Zea mays: one gene and its partner. The protein of the gene in region 2 binds, or shares a complex with, the protein of the main gene of each other region. Links are inferred from orthologs where the notes say so. Each region holds a gene or a part of one and is shown on either strand. Other genes may lie near its edges.

What was found.
Region 1: Conserved oligomeric Golgi complex subunit 7 (region 2) and Conserved oligomeric Golgi complex subunit 5 share a complex: the UniProt entries of both Arabidopsis thaliana proteins name them as parts of the conserved oligomeric Golgi complex. The link is inferred for Zea mays from reciprocal best matches to the Arabidopsis thaliana genes EYE and AT1G67930.

Annotation. Positions count from the first base shown.
Region 1 is NC_050101.1:153,635,169-153,645,303, forward strand, and holds the start of Conserved oligomeric Golgi complex subunit 5, read right to left. Parts: upstream 5,694-10,135; 5' UTR 5,667-5,693; coding exon 4,599-5,666; intron 3,982-4,598; coding exon 3,508-3,981; intron 1-3,507. UniProt on the Arabidopsis thaliana protein: Required for normal Golgi function.
Region 2 is NC_050104.1:115,465,266-115,474,668, forward strand, and holds Conserved oligomeric Golgi complex subunit 7, read right to left. Parts: upstream 9,069-9,403; coding exon 8,781-9,068; intron 7,957-8,780; coding exon 7,867-7,956; intron 7,758-7,866; coding exon 7,638-7,757; intron 7,562-7,637; coding exon 7,460-7,561; intron 7,236-7,459; coding exon 6,985-7,235; intron 6,763-6,984; coding exon 6,617-6,762; intron 6,462-6,616; coding exon 6,263-6,461; intron 6,041-6,262; coding exon 5,386-6,040; intron 4,315-5,385; coding exon 3,982-4,314; intron 3,802-3,981; coding exon 3,523-3,801; 3' UTR 3,325-3,522; downstream 1-3,324. Other genes in the region: phosphatidylinositol synthase, read right to left, coding at 1-19, 101-185, 592-628. UniProt on the Arabidopsis thaliana protein: Required for normal Golgi function. Necessary for embryo development and pigmentation, especially for the expansion of cells and organs, and for the formation of the organized shoot apical meristem (SAM).

The DNA of each region.
Region 1 (10,135 bases), on a different chromosome or scaffold from region 2:
CCCAGGCCGCAGCAGAGCATGAAGCTCGCCTCCAAGCTGCTGCTAGGCGTGATGCTGCTCTCGCCCAAGCCCTTCAGGCAGAGCAGGAGGCGGCCACCGCGGCCTAGGAGCGCGATGTTGCTGCCGCCCGGGTTCGCGCTGCTCTCGAGCGCGCAGCCCATGCGCGCGCCCTTGCTGCTCAGACTGCCACCGATGGCAGCCCTGTCGATGATACTCAGTCCCACCACTCTGATCCAGCGGGTGGTGATGACAAGGGCCTCCACGACGCCATCCTCCTTCACGAGGCTGCTGCGATCGTCAACCTCCACTCCCAGGCCGTCGCTGTGCAAAACATCCGGAGTCTCGTTCACGTCGTCCTCGACCTCGCCAACAACAACTACACTCGCTGGCGTGATGAGTTCCTTCTCGTCACTGGCAAATACTCCCTGGACAGCCACATCCTCGACGACACTCCCGCGCATCACTTCCCCGACTGGGCACGCATGGACTGCGTTGTCAAGTCCTGGATCTCCGGCTCCATCTCCCCGGATCTTGCTGAAATGGCCATGGAACGCGGCGCCACTGCCCGCACCACTTGGCTGACTCTCGAGAATCAGTTCCTCGGGAATCGGGAAACTCGCGCCCTCCACCTCGACGCTCAGTTCCGACACTTTGTCCAAGGTGATCTACCTGTCTCCGATTACTGTCGCCGTTTCAAAACCATGGCAGATGCCCTTGGTGATCTTGGTGAACCAGTCACCGACCGGACGTTGGTCCTCAATGTTCTGCGCGGCCTCAGCGACCGGTTCTCCGACATCGGCCGTCATCTTCGCCTCGGTCGCCCCTTTCCGACGTTCCACGACGTCCGGGCCACTCTCCTGTTGGAGGAACTCACGATGGCCCATCGTGCGTCTTCTCCATCCGCCGCCCTGCTTACCTCCACCAAACCTCCACAAGGCGGGACTTCGATGGCCTCCAACAAGGCTCCCACTGCTTCCAACAAGGCGCCTTCGGCTCCTCGCTCCGGCCACCCCAACCGTCGCAGCAAGAGGGGTGGCCAAGGCCGCCAGGGTATTCTTCCATTCCCTGGCACTGGTCCCGGCTTGTGGCCCTCCCTCCAAAACCCTTGGACTGGGGCCATCCAGATGTGGCCCGGCCCCCGGGCGCCAACCCCACAGCAGCAGCAAGGTCTCCTGGCGCAGCACCAGGCCCTGCTGCCTCCGGCGGCCCAGCAACAGCAGGTTTTTCATGCTGCTCCTGTCTCCATCGCCCCTCACCAGGCGCTGCTGGCCCACCAGACCCAGCAATATGTTCATGGTGCTCTTCAAGGACAGGGAGGCACCCCCCTGCAACACACTCTGCAGACCGGCCCCTTGCAGGGAGGCGCTACCCACGGCATGCTGGCTCCGCCAACTACTCCATCTTGGGACGCTCAGTCCCTTGCATCCGCTTTCAGCACTGTGTCCCTGACTCCGCCCCAGCAGACTGACTGGTACTTCGACACAGGTGCTACCTCCCACATGACCTCCAACGCCGGTACTCTATCCAACACTTCAACTCCCTCCCTTACTGCACCTTCTTCCATTATTGTCGGTGACGGCTCCCTTCTTCCTGTCATTTCCACTGGCTCCACTACTTTACATAATTCTTTACATCTCAACAATGTTCTTGTGTCACCTAAACTTATTAAGAACCTCATTTCCGTTCGCCAGTTTACTACCGATAATCACTGTTCCATTGAATTTGATCCCTCTGGTTGCTCTGTGAAGGATCTACTATCTCGGAACGTGATCGTCAGGTGCAATAGCTCCGGGCCCCTATACCCCCTGTGCCTCCCTGCTGCACACAGCTTCTGGCCGAGCTTCGTCACCCGTTACGTCGTGCCACGTTGGTCTATTGTGACAACATCAGTGCAGTCTATATGTCTTCAAACCCGGTCCAGCATCAGCGCACCAAGCACATTGAGATTGATTTGCACTTTGTTCGGGATCGGGTGGCTCTCGGCGATGTCCGCGTTCTCCATGTGCCTACTACCTCCCAGTATGCAGACATCTTCACAAGGGGCTTCCCTCTACAGTCTTCACGGAGTTCAGATCCAGCCTGAACGTCTGCGGTACCGACGATCAGACTGCGGGGGCGTGTTAGCTGATATATCAGACTTGTGTCTCCTACCATATAGGCGCAGGATACCCTACCATACATGTGCAGGCATCCTTGCCTTTCTAGCTACAGCCGCATATAGGAAGATATGGATTCAATCCTCCCATTTAGGGGCAGTGATTGTTTCCTTCCATTCCAGGAGATCTCAGGGTACTGTTTCTATAAACCTGAGATCTCCCACCTCTCTATCCCTCTATATATATGTGCGCCTGTACTATCAATCAATCAATATAGACAGCAATTATCTTGCTATCACACGCAAATCAGAATAAAACACAAGCTTAGGTACACCATATTGGATAACAGGTGTCACTCAGTGAAGTCCAAAAATCACTGAACTGAGCCAAATTTGCACAGCGTATTTTTGGTGTTGGAGAGTAAGCATGGTGCTAGCAAAGGTCTTCAGAAGAAAACAAAGGAAACAAGTGACCAGTGCCGGCCCTGAGGTTGGGGCAGCAGGGCGGCCGCCCTAGGTCCCCAAGTTCATAGTATATATTCAGTGGTCAGACTATCATTTTATGACACAATAGCTCAACAGCGAAGTGTCGAAGAGTTGGCGGTCACAATATGTCCACAGCTCGATTATATCTAAACATGTTATATTTTTAGATGTGTCTTAAGGGTTTATATTGGTTACATTTATATATATATATATAAAATAATTAGAAGGGCCTCTATTTTAAATCTTGTCCCGGGTCCCTAAAATCTCAGGACTGCCACTGCAAGCGACTCAACGTAACTAAAATCACATGGTTAGACAGATTCTAATGCAGCAGATTATGTTTGGTTGCCAACTAATGTTGCCACACAATCTTGACCTATTGAAAACTCATGAGCATTTGCTTGTTCTTGTACAGATAACCTTAGTCTTGCCACACTTTTGTGGCAACAAAATAGACACCTAAGGTTAGGCAAAATTAGGCAAGAAATCAGAATATATGACACAAGGTGGCTAAGAAGTTAGGCAGACTGCAATGTAAAAGGAACTAAACATTGCCTAGTAAAACTGTGTATGCCTAAGATTAGGACTTAGGCGTGAAATGCAAATCAATTACTCAAAGAATTATGAAGAATCGTCCCACTTAATATATGGAGCTAACAGATACAACTAGAATCACCAAAAAAACATTGGTCAGGCTTCAACTAATATTTGGTTACAATCAGTGAAGCTAGTCTGACAGAAAGAGAAAAACAGTAATGGAATATGGTATACACAAATTTCAAGTCATAATGTTACATCAGAAATTACTAGTTAAACCTACCACAAGGACTACATTTACTCATAGCTAACGAAGAAAGCATACAAAATCCACACAGAAAACGTATACAAATAACTTGGCTAGATCATCAAAGGTAGCAAATGGATACCTGATATTCTGCTCTCTGTGCTAAAAGAAGCAAGGTCTTTCCAATTTCACGTAGAACAAGAACAAGCAAATGCCCATGAGTTCTCACTACTTCGATTTCTTCTTGTATGCGAGAAACCAATCTTGAGATCTGATCCTTTGAAGGTATAGTTCCACGGTTTGACATTGGAAATATGCTGTTGACATAATCAGATAGCCGACTATGACACAGAGCCAAAAAGGCTGTCTGGAACATCTCAATGGCTGAAATCATATGATCTTTTCCTTCAGGAGTGAGAGCTGGAAGGGTGCCCTTTACATCAGTATCTCTTGAAATCCTCTCAAGGAGGTTTTCAACCATCGAAAACAGTCTTGGATACCCAAGAGTAAATATTTCTTTCACAAAGCTTGAAGCCGTAAAGGTAGTCTTCATCTGACTTGCAAAGGCCTTGACAATTGCATCCCAAACTCTCTCTGTTATAAGAGGCTCACCCTCCTGCACAAGATTTATTTTATTTTTGTTAAAACAACAGAAGCTTTTAGGGACGCCAGTCCTGTTTATATACAGGAGCAAAAAAAGAAATTGACAATAGTCTTATTGCCTGCAATTCTGTATGTACAAAATCACATTTCATTGAAATTACAACTAAGGAAGCCTGAAAAGACTGTTGGTATCCACTAGGTACCAAGTGCACATTTCATTCTATACTAAGCACCTTGATACAAGGGATCACTAGCATAGTTCCAGTATCAACTGCCGGACAATAGTGACATTGGTGGGGGGGAAAGGTATGAACAGCTGAAGTTGTACCCTTCAAATTTCAAGTTCATTACTTCATTTAACCAAACATATAGCCTAAAATATGTGATGTGTTTACAAGAGAAGATCTATTTGTGTTCTGATACATCAACATGCTCATTCTGTACTGCCTACATTGTCATTTTGGATCTCTTCCATCACCATTATATCTTAACAATTCACAAACCAACATCACGTGATCAATGACTTCGTGTTATACTCACAATTGTGCCACTATGTTAACTGTTAAGTTCCAATTTGCAACTTCAATTCATTTTCATCTGATCTAGTAAGTCCATGCATCAAACACTTACCTGCCAAACCTCCTCAAGAAAAAGCATTTGTGTGAATGGCACACGCTTCTTAGTGAGCACAGTCTGCAACTGCCAAGCAGCAGTCACTGCTCGGTGGAGCTCATCCATGCACTGCCTCATCCTATCCCATAGTGCCTCTGCAGCCTTCTTACTCCCACCAATCTGCGGCGTACCACTCCTCTGCACCCCTCCAGGACCACCTCCAACGCCAGCAGTCATTGATATCGCCTTCATGTCCAGTGCGACAGACACACTCTTTGCACCCGCTGCCTTGTGCTTTCCCACAAGCCCCTCCACTGCTGTCTTCAGTTCCCCGAGATTGTAGTACACCTGCAGCCCGCACCACACGTCGTTCTGGTTGGACTCGTAGACACCGCCATCGATCACAGCGCTGGCCTCTGAGCGCAGCTTTGACGCAGCGGCATCCACCTTGCGCATCTCCTCGTCAACGGCATTAATCCCGGAGAGGTTCTTCTCCTCATAGAGGAGGCGGATCTCGCGGTAGAGCTCAGCCTGGCGCGCAAGATCGGGCGCAGGGGAGGAGGCGAGGAGTCGGGAGGAGAGGCGCACTAAGCGGTGGGAGTGGAGGAGGAGGTCGGCTGTGGCCAAGAGGCTGGAAAGGGAAGCCGAGGAGTGAGCGAGATGGGAGCGCGGGGCCGAGAGGTGGGAGGAGAGGAGAGAGAGGTGAGAGGAGAGAAGGTTGAGGTGGGATGGGAGCGAGGAGAGAGACGCGGAGGCGGAGCGGAGAGAAAGGAGGTGGGAGAGGAGGAGGGGGTGGCGGCGCAGCACCTCGACGCGGAGATGGCGGCGGAGGAGGCGGATGGCATCCTGCAGCTGCTCGGCGCGGGAGGCAGCGAGTCCTGAGGAAAGCGCGGCGGAGGAGAAGACAGAAGGGGAGAAGGACGGCGACAGGAAGGCGGAGAGGACGGGATCGGAGGCGAAGGCGTCGAGCGGGGAGGCGGGATCGTCGGAGGTGGGGGAGGGCGGCGAGGTGAAGGAGGCGGCTGTGAGAAGGTCCTTGGACGTCGGCGAGAGGAGACGGGGAGTGGTGGGGGGCGGCGCTGCCATGGCGGGGGCGGCCTTCGGAGAGTTCGGGGTGGATCTGGACTCTGGAGGTGGAGGGAAGCGAGATCTAGCCGAGAGTGCGAATACAGTTGGCATGGAGGTCGTTGCTCCGATTTGTTGGTTTTGTGCTTGGGACGATCACGATTAATTTCGAAAACTATTTTTAACAAGAACTGTTTAATTATTGTTATTATTATTATTATTCAGTTAATCATTCTATTTATGTCAAATATATTACTAGTTAGACACACGCTATGATTTATATATATCGCATAGTTAAACTTTATTTTATATTATGTTTGAATATAGAATATAAAACACAAAAATATGTATTCTCCTGGTTAAATGAGTATGAACGTGGAGACAATGACCAAGGTTTGAACCCCACTTGTGCATAATTTTTGAAAACTAGTGCTTTATACAATAGAGATTATATATGCCTATATTTGTGATATTTTTTACTTGTCAAAGTTAACCACTGTTGACAACTAAGGTTGTCCATTTTGTGAAGTTGACAAAATATGAATGAATTTCATCATTACATTTCTCTTGGCAAGATGATAAAAATGATATATAGGCAAGTCTAATTTAGAGTTCAGATTAAATTAGTTTTCAAAAAGATGCTATGTGGTTTATAGTTTTAATATCAGAATTTTCGAGAAACATAAAACTTGCTTAGTGTCCAAGATCATCATCATGTTGAAGGTTCCAACAAATGTAGAAAGTTCTTACGATAATTATGACAAACCTAAAAAGCTATATTTAAAAATAACCTTTTGGATTTTGATCTGAATTGTTCAAGATTCATAAAAAAATGTCTCGGAAAGATCCCCTGCTAGGATTAGAGATGGCAATGGGGACCCGATCCTCAATTTCCCGCGGGAAATTCTCCTATTAGGGGACGGGTATGTGACTAATTTAGTCCCCGCGGGGATCTAGATGGGAGAAATTTAATCTCCGTCGGGTTCGAGGGGACGGGGACGGGTTCCCCGTGTACCCGCCCCACGAAACTTTTTTATTCAAGTTAGTCAATTTATTTGTTAGAATTATAGTAAAAACTCAATGTATGACATGTTATAAAACAACAAACTAAACTCTAAACTAGATGTCTCTTGTAATTTTTAATCTTGTTTGTTAAATTTGTATTAATTTGATAAAATTAATTTAAATTTATCTTATATTGTACTTCTAGTGGGGGACAGATTCACCGTGAGGTTCCCCACGGGGATAAATTCCCCGACGGGGACGGAGATGGAAGAAAAAGCTTTCCCGTGAGCGTTCGCGCGGGGACGGGGACGGGGAATTTTCCTCCCCACGGGGACGAGGATGGGGAGTCATTCCCCGACGGGGAAATCCCCGTTGCCATCCCTAGCTAGGATAATGCCACCTCTCTCTCTACACACACATATTAGAGGGTCATGGAAGATCGAGCGATCCAACAACCAATCATAAAAAAACATATCTACTATTTTTACCCTTTATTTTCTCATATACTTATTCTCCTTATTCTTTATCGCTAACGTATGACCGATGGTTTGATGAGGACAAGGACCTAGACCGGTTAGGCTAGCTAGGGCAGTCCATAGTCGTCACATGGCTCGACGAGGTCCCTCCTGGTCATGCGGGTTGTTATATCAAGAGACCACATCAACAATGTATTGTGTATTGCGCTCCCAATGAGGCTCCCCCATAGATGTGTCCTGTGTATCATGATCATTGCTAGAGGCATTAGGTTTGAGTGTGAAAACATAACTTATGCATCAGTCGACCTAATAGTTGGCTAGGCCTATCATCGAGCGACCTAGCTCTTTAAGAGTGTGTTTGGTTTGAGGAATGAAGTTATCCATCTTCTTCTCATTCATCACTTTTTTATTTGGTTTGTGGAATAGAATGGATTGATCCATCGTCACCCCATTCCTCATAAGCTAATAATTAGTATAAACATGAGGAGTGAGTTGATTCCACCAAAATTGATGGATGAACTTATGATGCATCACCTCATTAAGCATAGAGTGACTCCACAAACCAAACACACTATAAAAGTGTGGTGACTTAATTAAGCATCAACATATTTTTTGTGACTTCATTGGGGAACAATTGATTCGGTTGTATCATACAATCGATCTTTCTAACATTGCCATTTTATTGTTTTGAATATATCCTTATTGTTTTTTCCACTGTCATTGCATCTAGCCAAAAAGGTTGATACATCAGAACAATCAAATTAATCAAGAAAGTGTTGAAAACTGAAAGGGAATTAGGCTTACACCTAGTCCCTAATTAATTTTGGCGGTTGAACTGCCCAACACAATTAATTGGACTAACTAGTTTGCCCAAGTGTATAGATTATACAGGTGTAAAAGGTTCACACTCAGCCAATAAAAAGATTAAGTTTTGGATTCAACAAAGGAGCAAAGAGGCAACCGAAGGCACCTCTGGTCTGGAGGCACCGGACTGTCCGGTGTACACCGGACAGTGTCCGGTGCGCCACCGGACTGTGTCCGGTGCACCAGAGGACTCCAACTCGAACTCGCCACCTTCGGGAATTTCTCAGGCCGGCGCGCTATAAATCACCGGACTGTCCGGTGTACACCGGACAGTGTCCGGTGCTCCAAGGAAGCGCGGCCTCAGGAACTCGCCAGCCTCGGGATTTCACTTCAGCCGCTCCGCTATAATTCACCGGACTGTCCGGTGTGCACCGGACTGTCCGGTGTACCAGCGGAGCAACGGCTATTTCGGCGCCAACGGCTACCTTCGGCGCATTTAATGCGCGCTCTGCGCGCGCAGAAGGCAGGCGCGCCCATACTGGCGCACCGGACAATGAACAGGAGTTGTCCGGTGTGCACCGGACATCCAGGTGGGCCCAGAAGTCAGAAGCTCCAACGGTCAGAATCCAACGGCAGTGATGACGTGGCGGGGGCACCGGACATGTCCGGTGTGCACCGGACTGTCCGGTGCGCCATCGAACAGACAGCCTCCACCAACGGTCAAGTTGGTGGTTGGGGCTATAAATACCCCAACCACCCCACCATTCATTGCATCCAAGTTTTCCACTTCCCAACTACTACAAGAGCTCTAGCATTCAATTCTAGACACACCAAAGAGATCAAATCCTCTCCAAATTCCACACAACGCCATAGTGACTAGAGAGAGTGATTTGCTTGTGTTCTTTCGAGCTCTTGCGCTTGGATTGCTTTCTTCTTTCTTGATTCTTTCGTTGCAATCAAACTCACTTGCAATTGAGGCAAGAGACACCAAACTTGTGGTGGTCCTTGTGGGAACTTTGTGTTCCAAGTAATTGAGAAGAGAAAGCTCACTCGGTCCGAGGGACCGTTTGAGAGAGGGAAGGGTTGAAAGAGACCCGGCCTTTGTGGCCTCCTCAACGGGGAGTAGGTTTGCGAGAACCGAACCTCGGTAAAACAAATCCGCGTGTCACACTCTTCATTTGCTTGCGATTTGTTTTGCGCCCTCTCTCGCGGACTCATTTATATTTCTAACGCTAACCCGGCTTGTAGTTGTGTTTACTTTTGTAAATTTCAGTTTCGCCCTATTCACCCCCCCCCCTCTAGGCGACTATCAATTGGTATCAGAGCCCGGTGCTTCATTAGAGCCTAACCGCTCGAAGTGATGTCGGGAGATCACGCCAAGAAGGAGATGGAGACCGGCGAAAAGCCCACTACAAGCCATGGGAGCACTTCATCGGAAGAGTCCCGCACCAAGAGGAGGGAGAAGAAGAAGAGCTCCTCCAACAAAGGGAAGGAGAAGAAATCTTCTTCTCACAACAAAGAGAAGAAGGAAAAATCCTCTTCTCACAAGCCGCATCGGAGTGGGGACAAGCAAAAGAGGATGAGGAAAGTGGTCTACTACGAGACCGACACTTCATCAACATCGACCTCCGGCTCCGATGCGCCCTCCGTAACTTCTAAACGTCAAGAGCGTAAGAAGTTTAGTAAGATTCCCCTACACTATCCTCGCATTTCTAAACATGCACCTTTACTTTCCGTACCATTAGGCAAACCACCAACTTTTGATGGTGAAGATTATGCTAGGTGGAGTGATTTAATGCGATTTCATCTAACCTCACTCCACAAAAGTATATGGGATGTCGTTGAGTTTGGTGCACAGGTACCATCCATAGGGGATAAGGATTATGATGAGGATGAGGTGGCCCAAATCGAGCACTTCAACTCTCAAGCAACAACAATACTCCTCGCCTCTTTAAGTAGAGAGGAGTATAACAAAGTTCAAGGGTTGAAAAGTGCCAAGGAGGTTTGGGATGTGCTCAAAACCGCGCACGAGGGAGATGAGCTCACAAAGATCACCAAGCGGGAAACGATCGAGGGGGAGCTCGGTCGGTTCCGGCTTCGCAAAGGGGAGGAGCCACAAAACATGTACAACCGGCTCAAGACCTTGGTGAACCAAGTGCGCAACCTCGGGAGCAAGAAGTGGGACGACCACGAAATGGTTAAGGT
Region 2 (9,403 bases):
CACACCATCAAGGACAAAGCTAGCATGTTTGTAAAGATGTTAGAACAATATACATAAATCATTGGCAACCTCAAGAAGTTTGCAGATATAAGACGCTCACCTGATGAAGTACAGGATAGCAAAGAGAGCCTTGTTGGAATAGCAAACCGCAAATGCAATGAAATTTATGATGATCCTAAAATACCCTGTGTGATAATGACAATTCTTGGAATTTTAGTCACATAGGCTTCTGTTTTTCATTCATGCTAAAAGCAGTAGATAAACATATTGTCTCGTTGGTTAAACTATGTGTCCTCTACTAAATTTATGGTTCCATTTATGTAGCTATACTTGGGCAGCAAAGTGGCAACAAAACTAAAACGCAGTATGTGGATGTTGCTTCTGCACTGCATAGCAAACTGGCAACATAACTAGAATGAAGTACAAAATCAATGACAGAAAGTAGGCAATGTTTCCAGTTGCACGAATCATTACTCATTAGTACAATTATCCAGACTTTGAGATATAAGTAACAAAAAAAATATAAATATTATATAATAGGTTTTGGAACAGCAAAATAGAATGTCAATAGATAACCATCCAGAGGCGTACCGATAATGTTAGGGATGTAAAGATAAACTGATGGCATTTTGCCAGAGGGCAATTGTGCCTAGTCGCCTAGAGAAGATCAGGAGTAACCAAGAGCTTGAGGTCCGTAAGTTCTGCCCTTAAATTGGTGAGCATAAATAAACTTAACGGGATTCCTGTCAGATGAGTATATCGTTTATATATTGATCCAAAAAAACAAAGTTTTTACAAGAAAATCAAGTACAGTGTTAGTATAACCCTTGTACCTTTTACAAACTAAAAAAACTCGTATTTATATGTCCCAATGAAATATCAACATAATCGCTGGTTTTCCAAAAGAGGAGATGAAAGCAAACATTTATTTTTTGCCCATAGCAGTACAGATGACTACGGTGGCAAAATATCTGAATTGTGGCAAATAAAGCTTGAACTAGGCATGATTAAAGCATTTGCTTCTTTGCTAGTATATAAATCTAGAAGCATCCGATATCATATTTAAGCCTGTAATATGCCTAGTTTTTGCATCATGGAGTTCGGCGGAGCCAATACAACACGTAGACCCGATAGTTTTTGCCAAAAAAAACAAGCTATTAGTAGGCACAATACATAAACATACCTAGTGGTTATCAGATCTGATCCGAATACAGATAGCCAAATAGGTTAAATTAGGGTTCAGGTGCACATTTTGCACAGAAGGGAAGAGAAGGGGCAGGCATACCTGGTGTGGCAGGCGCTCGTCGCCGACGCCGCAGGCAAAGGGCCCGACGAAGACCTGGGCAGCTGGGAGAAGGGCGGCAGCGGTCGCCGGCGTGTTCGGTTGCGCTGACGCTAGGCCCGGACCCAGTAATGCAGGCACCTGGCCCCCGTGGAAACGGCGGGGGGAATCGAGCGTGTAAAGGGAGAAAACGGCAAACAGGGTGTGAACGCACGACTTCTCTTTTTTGTATCTCTCGTTCTTTTTTCATTCTATTGCCATGACACGTTTTTTTTCGGTTTTTATTCCGCTTGTACCTAATTTTATTATTATAAGTCCTGCCTCATAAAAATCATTTCTTTTTTATCCACAATTGAAGCTTTTTTTCCCATTGCCCTAGTGGTAATTTTTTTTTGTCAGTCTTTTAAAAGTTGTGCTCTAACTAACTTAGAATCTTTTCATTTCACATAAATATGTCATAAGACTTTTCTATTAAATATGTAACATTTTTCTTGTGCCTGTAGAATGTTTTTCTCGAGAATTTGGAAAAAGTTTACTCATAATGGTGGTATAAATTTCCTTTTAGCATGGAATGTTTTGGTCATGAGCTGCATCATTTTGCTAGTGAAACTATAATGTGTTCCTTCAAGAAGTAGAACATTGTTTTATTTTAAGAAAAAATCTTAAGTTGGAACATTTTGTTTTAAAGCTACCACATTTTCCTTTTGAATGTAGTATTTAAGGGCAAACACCAAAAAAATATAATTGATGTTAACATTACTCCCTTCCAAACTATAAGATAATTTGACCCTTTTAGATTCACCATTTTTCTATACATTTAGATGTACACTATATCAACATAATTTGACCCTAAAAATTAAAAATGCTTTATAATTTAAAATTGAGAGGGTATAAGTATAGATGTACAGAAAACACGAAAGCTCGGTCTGAAGCATGTTTTTTTGGTCTGGTACGAGCCCGGTCCAGCCCGCATTTATACGGGCCCGGACCAGCCCGGCACAAATAAGCGGGCCGGACCCCGACAGGAAACTAAGCACGGTGGGCTAGCTCGGCACGACCCGTTTACCTTTAAACCCGTCAAGCCCGCCTTTTTACACTAAATCGTACTTACCGACCTGTTTTTGGTCTGCTTTTTTCGTGCTTACCGGGTCGGTCCGACCCGTTTAGGCTCATAGCGGGCCGTGCTCGGACAGGGAAACGAGCCCACGGGCTTAGACAGTCTGGCCCGGTTTTCTAACCGTGCCTAGCGAGCCGGGCCCAAAACGGGTCGGGCGGCCATTTGGCCATCTCTAAGTATAAGTCATTAGGATTTTGTTGGGAAAATATCCTATGCAATCACTTATCCTGGTGCAAGCATGCAATCAAGCGATCTGGTACATCCGATCTAGATATAATGATAACTGTTATTTTACATTTAACCCCTTCCACCTGAAACCTAGTGTCTATTTTACATTTAACCACTTCCATATAAAACCGTTGCATCTAGACTGGATGCTCTGGATAGTTTGATTGCACGCTTGCACCAAAATGAGTGATTGCACAGGATATGTCCTCGATTTTGTTATGACAAAATATTATTTAAACTAGTGCACTAAAAGTAATGTAAAAACCCTAAACCAATATTACATGCCTCAATCTTTTACTACATATTATAACGTTAAATAAAAATATCTAGTGGAATCTATTAGTAAAATATTTGGTAGAATCTGAAAAGATTTTGACGCTTGGTGCTAGCAGCGAGAAACATTTTAGTTTTTCAACAAAATTACTGTCAAACACCGCAAAGGAGACAAACGTTTCGAGGATGATTATTTGGAACCGATTATCATTTGTACACTAGAAACAAACGTAATATAGTTTCTCATTTAGTTCTAGCTTCAAACTTCCAGCGAACTACCCAATGCAAAATCTAATCTGGATGCAAAATGTTTTTACGAGAAACCTGCCAAATGCACCCTATGATCCATCCAATTCTGACGAGCTTATAAAGCTGATCCTCATTCTTTCCCCTAGGTTTGTAATAGAAAATCGTGCAATCAATATAGGCTCCAAGTAATGAATTATTCTATATAGGATTATTCTCACTATGTGCCAGCAGTACGGTTACAAGGCAAGAAAAAAAAGGTGAAGCAACAAGCTACAAGCCCGCATGCCAAACATACGATCGCAGAAGCGTGCGGTAATGCATGCTTTTACAGAGGTAAACCTCATGGAAAGGGGGAGAAGTTAGGACGATTTCACTAATCTAATGTGATCCGCCGGATCTTGCAGACCAGATGGGTAGTAGGGAGGTCGAGCTGGCTTGCACCATCAGATTTGATCAGATCACGGACCTGGTCCCTCGGGGTGGAGACGCAGGCGTGGAAGGTAGACAGGAATGGAGGGATTGGCATCGAGAGCGCAGAGAGGACATTGTTTAGGTACTCAATGTCAGCAGCGAGCTGCTGTGAACCTCGGTCGGTGATGTAGTGGATTCCTCGGAGCTGCTCCATGAACAAAGCAGTGGCACCTTCGGCGACCTGGTACATGGAAGCAGAGATGATAATCAAGACTGAATGTTCCAACATCAACAGAAGTGGTGCTATGAATTATGATTAAAACATGGGAAGATTCGAAATAGCCTTCTATTCAATCGTATCTTCCTACATGATGTGCAAGTGACCTTTTGCATACGTGTAGAAAGATTTCGCGTTTATTACCTTAAAAATCCACTCGGTGGCAAAGAACTGGGCCTCATCGTTGCCAGCCTCATTGCCTGAGATACCTTCCGCGAGTGGCTCCAGCTGCTGTGGTAAAGTGAGGAGATACTCCCCAACGCTGGTCACGTATGCTTGCGGGTAGGCACTGAAGCTTGGAAGAGGAAGACCACCCTGTTCCTCCACGGATGACCAGATTGGAAGGCGTGCGACCTCACTGAGACGCTGCCGAACCTTAGATATGAGCACATCATAGACGAGTTCATTTACTGTGTCTGAGAAGGCTGCAACTCTTTGTGATGTGAGAGGAAGAGCATGGAATCTTGGATCTTTTGACTGTAAAAATTAAATAAATAAAAATGTTAGCAACATGAGGGCAACTAAATTTAGTTGGGTGGGAAATTTGCAGGTTATGAGTAGGTTCTATGAACAGATCTGATTAACTAGTGATGTGGAGCAGAAGAGGCAAATGAAAATGATTAGATCTCAGCTTCATGTGAAACTAGATGTTCAAGATGTACCACGAAATGTAGTCCTTATGTTTCTACACTGACTAAAACAAGGGAATATGGAAAAGGAACCAAATGAGTCATTTGTCTGGACTGCATAATTTTCATCGAAAACAACCAAGGGCATGTTTATGTATTGTAGTTTTCGGAAAATATAGTATCATAAAACTGTGGTGCAAGCCAAAGAGATAAAAAAAAACCATGATTTAGAAAAAGTTAGTCATGATTGGAGTTATTAAAACTTCAAAAATACTACAGTTTTAACAAAATCATGGTTTTAGAAACTACTAAGTTTACTGTATCCAAACACCCAACAGCTTTTGAAACCATGGTATTGCTCCAATACTTTAAAATACTCCAACCCAAAATAAGTGCACTTCTACAATTCAAAATTTGTCCTAAAATAAGTGGACATCCAGCTATAGACTAGCTAACTTCAGTAGCTTTCTTAACTTTATTTCTTCCTAAGGTTTAATTATTACATGGTGGAGCAACCTTTATAGAGTATATATGTAATTTTACTACTATCTTTGGTATCTCCTACTAAATCTAAAAATACATTTGTTTTGGGATGGAGGGGGTACTCTGCATCCAAACAGGGCCTAATATGTGTTTTGCAAAAATACAGACACAAGGTGAGTCAACCCAACTTGAAATGATGCAATCTGGACCGTGGATCAAAGATCAGATAGTTCAGGACTTGGTTCTATAGAAAAATAAGAAAGATTCATTCATCAAGTTCTATCAGGTGATGATTGACATTGACTGCAGATCATGCATCACTATGCAAGTTTCAATCAATATTCAGATATACAGTTACAACCCAGAGACATAAGTGATGACTCCTGTGTTGTAAGTTGTAACAGAAAATTTGAAAATTTAAAACAACAAAACCTACCTGTTCTAGCACAGTTAAGAACTTCTTAGACTTATCTGGCAGATCACTTAAGCGAATAGCTGCAATGTCCAGCGCAGCCCTCCCAGCAAAAGACAAGTCTGCATTCTCATCAGCAGTTGCTGCAGGTGATTTATCCAGGCTTGAGCCAAATCCAGAAACAGAAAAGTTTGTTCCAATCCTGGCAAGTGTAGCTCTTAAAGAAGCTTCAAAGACTGAGGTTCTGCTAGTTAGGCAATCAGCAACTGTAAGAATTTGCAAAGCACCTTGGACAATAGACCATTCTTCCTCTTCAGAAACATCCACCAATCGTTGTACTTCCTTTTTCTCTAAACCTGCATCTTTTTTCAAGGCATCACTATCCAGTCCACAGATTATCCTCAGGGACTTCAATGTTTCTTGGAGATTAGATATGTACTGCAGCATGACGTCATCAAGAGCCAGTACCAGTTCATCTGCTTCTGAACCACCAGTCAGACTAATGCATCTCTCCACAGCTGCCTCAAGGAGTACTATCATTTCTGGGATGGATTCCTCCATTCTGCGGACAGTTTCGCTCAGCTCTATACCCTGTGCACCAACACCACGAGGGACGGCCCCACGGATGTCGATACTTGTCATCTCAGCAGAGAGTATAGCACGCTCCATCTGCCCATACCTACATGACACCCAATAAAAAGACACGCAGCACCAAATGATCATTGCCATACATCAATTGCATCAAAGAAATCTCATAAATGCAGCTGGTAACGAGATGCAAAACAATTTTTTCCTTTGGTGGTTGTGTGTGCATTGACCAATTGATTTAAGTATTTACCTTCCTTTAAAGGTTTCATATGGGGGAATAAATAGCTTTCGACCAATTGATCTAAGTATTTACCTTGCTTTAAAGGTTTCATATGGAGAATAAATAGCTTTCAAAGTATTCAGCACAACTGCAAGATCTGATTCTGAAAATAAGTACTGAATGTTCCTAGCAAAAGTGCCAGTCATATTGTGCAGTTCAATTAGCGCTTGAAGATGCTTATTCTGCAATTTGGTGCTTTTTGGTAAGTCACCTGATAGAACATCCAATATACCTGGATACAGAGAACAAAAACACAATTCTCTGTTAGGAAAACAAGCAAGATTAAGCAAACAAAACTAATAGCTTGTTAAAGCACAAAAATATATGTGATAAAACCATGGGATAGATGTAGGTCAAAATAAAATTAATGAGCAATCTATGCATTACCTTTGGCAATAGATCTGGTTTCAGGAATAACATCCCCGGTTGCTATATTTATACGAGAGACAAAGCTTGAATTCAACTCACTCATGGTCTCAGTAAGTACTTTTGGTACAAGTGATTTGTATTCGTCAGGGAAAGCAGTCAAGCACCTGTGAGCATCACCATTTCCATTTAGAGCAACCACAGGCTAAATTGCAGTTCTGATAGGGAAAAATAAGTGTTATATTTTTTGGTCTAAACAATGTGTTTTATTCATTATGCCAGATATTGCTTAAGGGCTGCTTCTAAAAACTGACTTCCGCTTAACCACTTTAGAACTAGTCCTAGGTATATTTAACTCAGATCAAAGGTGAAGATCACCATGAACATACCACTTCCACTCTTGTTCAAGGTAAAGCAGTGTCTCATCATAGAAATTAGGCAGCCAACTAGAGAATGAGAGGCCACTAATGCTTTCACCACTGAGTTTCTCCATGTCTACCTTGCTGGATCTTTGCTTTAGCTCAAAATCATCCCAGAGTTTCTTTAGAGGCTTAACATGGATCTTAGTGTATTGCACTTCCAGTGACTTGAACCTATTGATACGGATCAGTATACCACGAAGATCTTGCACGGCATCAACCTTTCAAAAAAGAAACAGGTTCCGAGTAAAATAGAGATCCTCAATGTAACAAACCACTACCTCCGCTTTGAGTTGAAAGTCGTGTTGTTATTTCTAGATATATAGCTTTTACTACGTATCAAGACATAATGTATTTTAGGTGCATAGCAGAAATTATGTATCTAGAAAAGCCAAAACGACTTAAAATTCGGAACGGAGAGAGTATTGTTTTGTGGGGATTATACCTTGCGATTAGAAAGTGCATCTACTAATCGAGGCTGCACCATTTCATCTAGCCTTTCTTCCAATACTTCAAGTTGTTTTCTGACGTTTGCAAACTCGGCAACCTGAAAGAAACCTTGTTATAAGCAAAACAAACAGGCTGTGTATGCAGCTCATGGCTTTTTACAGAGAGTATGACACCTCTCCAACTGCTGACAAGCAATGTCTCATAGTTGCCAGGGTTTCTGCAGCTTTTGGAAGATTGCCACTAGAAAACACATCCTCAACACTCTGGCTCAACTGAGCTAACCCAGCAGCATCCTGCCATTCCATCAAATGAACTCTTAAAAATAATAAACAAGAATTTACCACATTAGTAAAACTATACTCCAGTGGTGTGCCATGGTCTACAACTCCAGATAGACCTTACCTGCAATGTTGTGTATGCGGCTTCCATGCGCTGTTTCACAGTGTCAATACGCGCTAGTGCAGCTATTGATTCTGCGGATGAGCCCTCAGCCTGGATGGAAATATATTATATAACCATGAATACTTTGTTAGTTGTCGCCTTAGCAAAAATGTAGCTGGAACAGAATACAGTATATCAAGATAGAGTGAGCTTGGGCAGAGGGATAGACTGCAAACCCCCGAGAGATTAGTTTGGTGTACAAGAATGGTTCTCTCACGGTCACACAATGACACAACTGAAGGCCAAGATTTTATTTTCCTTGCATATTGTTGTACTGGAATTTTTATCACCTCAGTATGTAAGCATTACTAGAACTCCATGGCTCTTTGCCTTTTTTTTGGCAAGCAAAGAAAAGTTCTATGCAGATTGCCTTCGAATCTGAATGTCTGAATTGCTCCTAATTTTAACTCTTACAATACGCTCAAGTTTGTAAGTACATAAAATGACAATATCCAAATTAGTCCGCATGACATCTAATGCAACTATGTCAGAGTGTAGCTTAGTTTCACAAAACCCGGAGGCCCAAAACATTTCGAGATAAACTTTCAACTGGTAGCAGATTTGGGCAACGAAATCTGAACATAAACTAATCAAACTAAATGACTCACTCGTGAATTTCGTACTACTTGTACGCTAGTACGCTACAATTGTACTCATGTCGTATCCAAGGTGAAACCCAGGCAGATGAAATCAGACTTGACTAGACATGGATGTGAGATCCAGATCCATCTGAAATATACGTGCGAAGAGACTACGCGCGGTAAGCTATTCCAGAGCTCGAAGCAATCCATCTCGGTTTCGCGTAATAAACCCACGGGATTGTTAGTGAGTCCCAGATCCAATAAGGAGAAAGCCACAGGGACGGAGGCGCGTACCAGGGAGAGGGACTGGAGGACGGAGGCGAGGTGGGAGCGTAGGGCGACGGCGTCGTCGCGGAGGCGCAGCGCGTCGCGGCATGCCAACGGGACGCGGCGGAGGGCGTCGCCGCTATCCCTCTCGAGCGCGGCCGCGGCGTCGTCGGCCGCGGAACGCAGGCGCTCCTCGGCGTCGGCGAGGAAGCGATCGAGAGGCTCCGACGGGTGCCGCGCGTCCAGCGCCGCGTTGATCCACCGCTTCGGGTCGAAGCCCTCCGCCCCGAACTCCGACGCGTCCACGACCACCATTTCCGGTGCACGTCGGGAGAAAGCGCGCGGGTTCCCTTCACTGCTTCTCTGTCTCGGCTCCTCGGGTGTCTGCACACTGCACTCTGCAGGGGAGTAGGGACGAAGAGTTTTTTTTTTTTTTTTGTTTGCTATTATAAACCTTATTAGAGCATCTCCAACAACGTGAACTATAAAAATGCCTTATAATTTAAAAATAAGTAAATTTTATAGAATTTAGGGCACCAACAAAACACCCCGCTCCAACAGTAAAGCCCCAAATCTAGATTATAGGGCAGCCCACTACGGTGTAGTATATTTGAGGCACTTGAGAGGGTGCCCTATAGTTTTTTGACAAA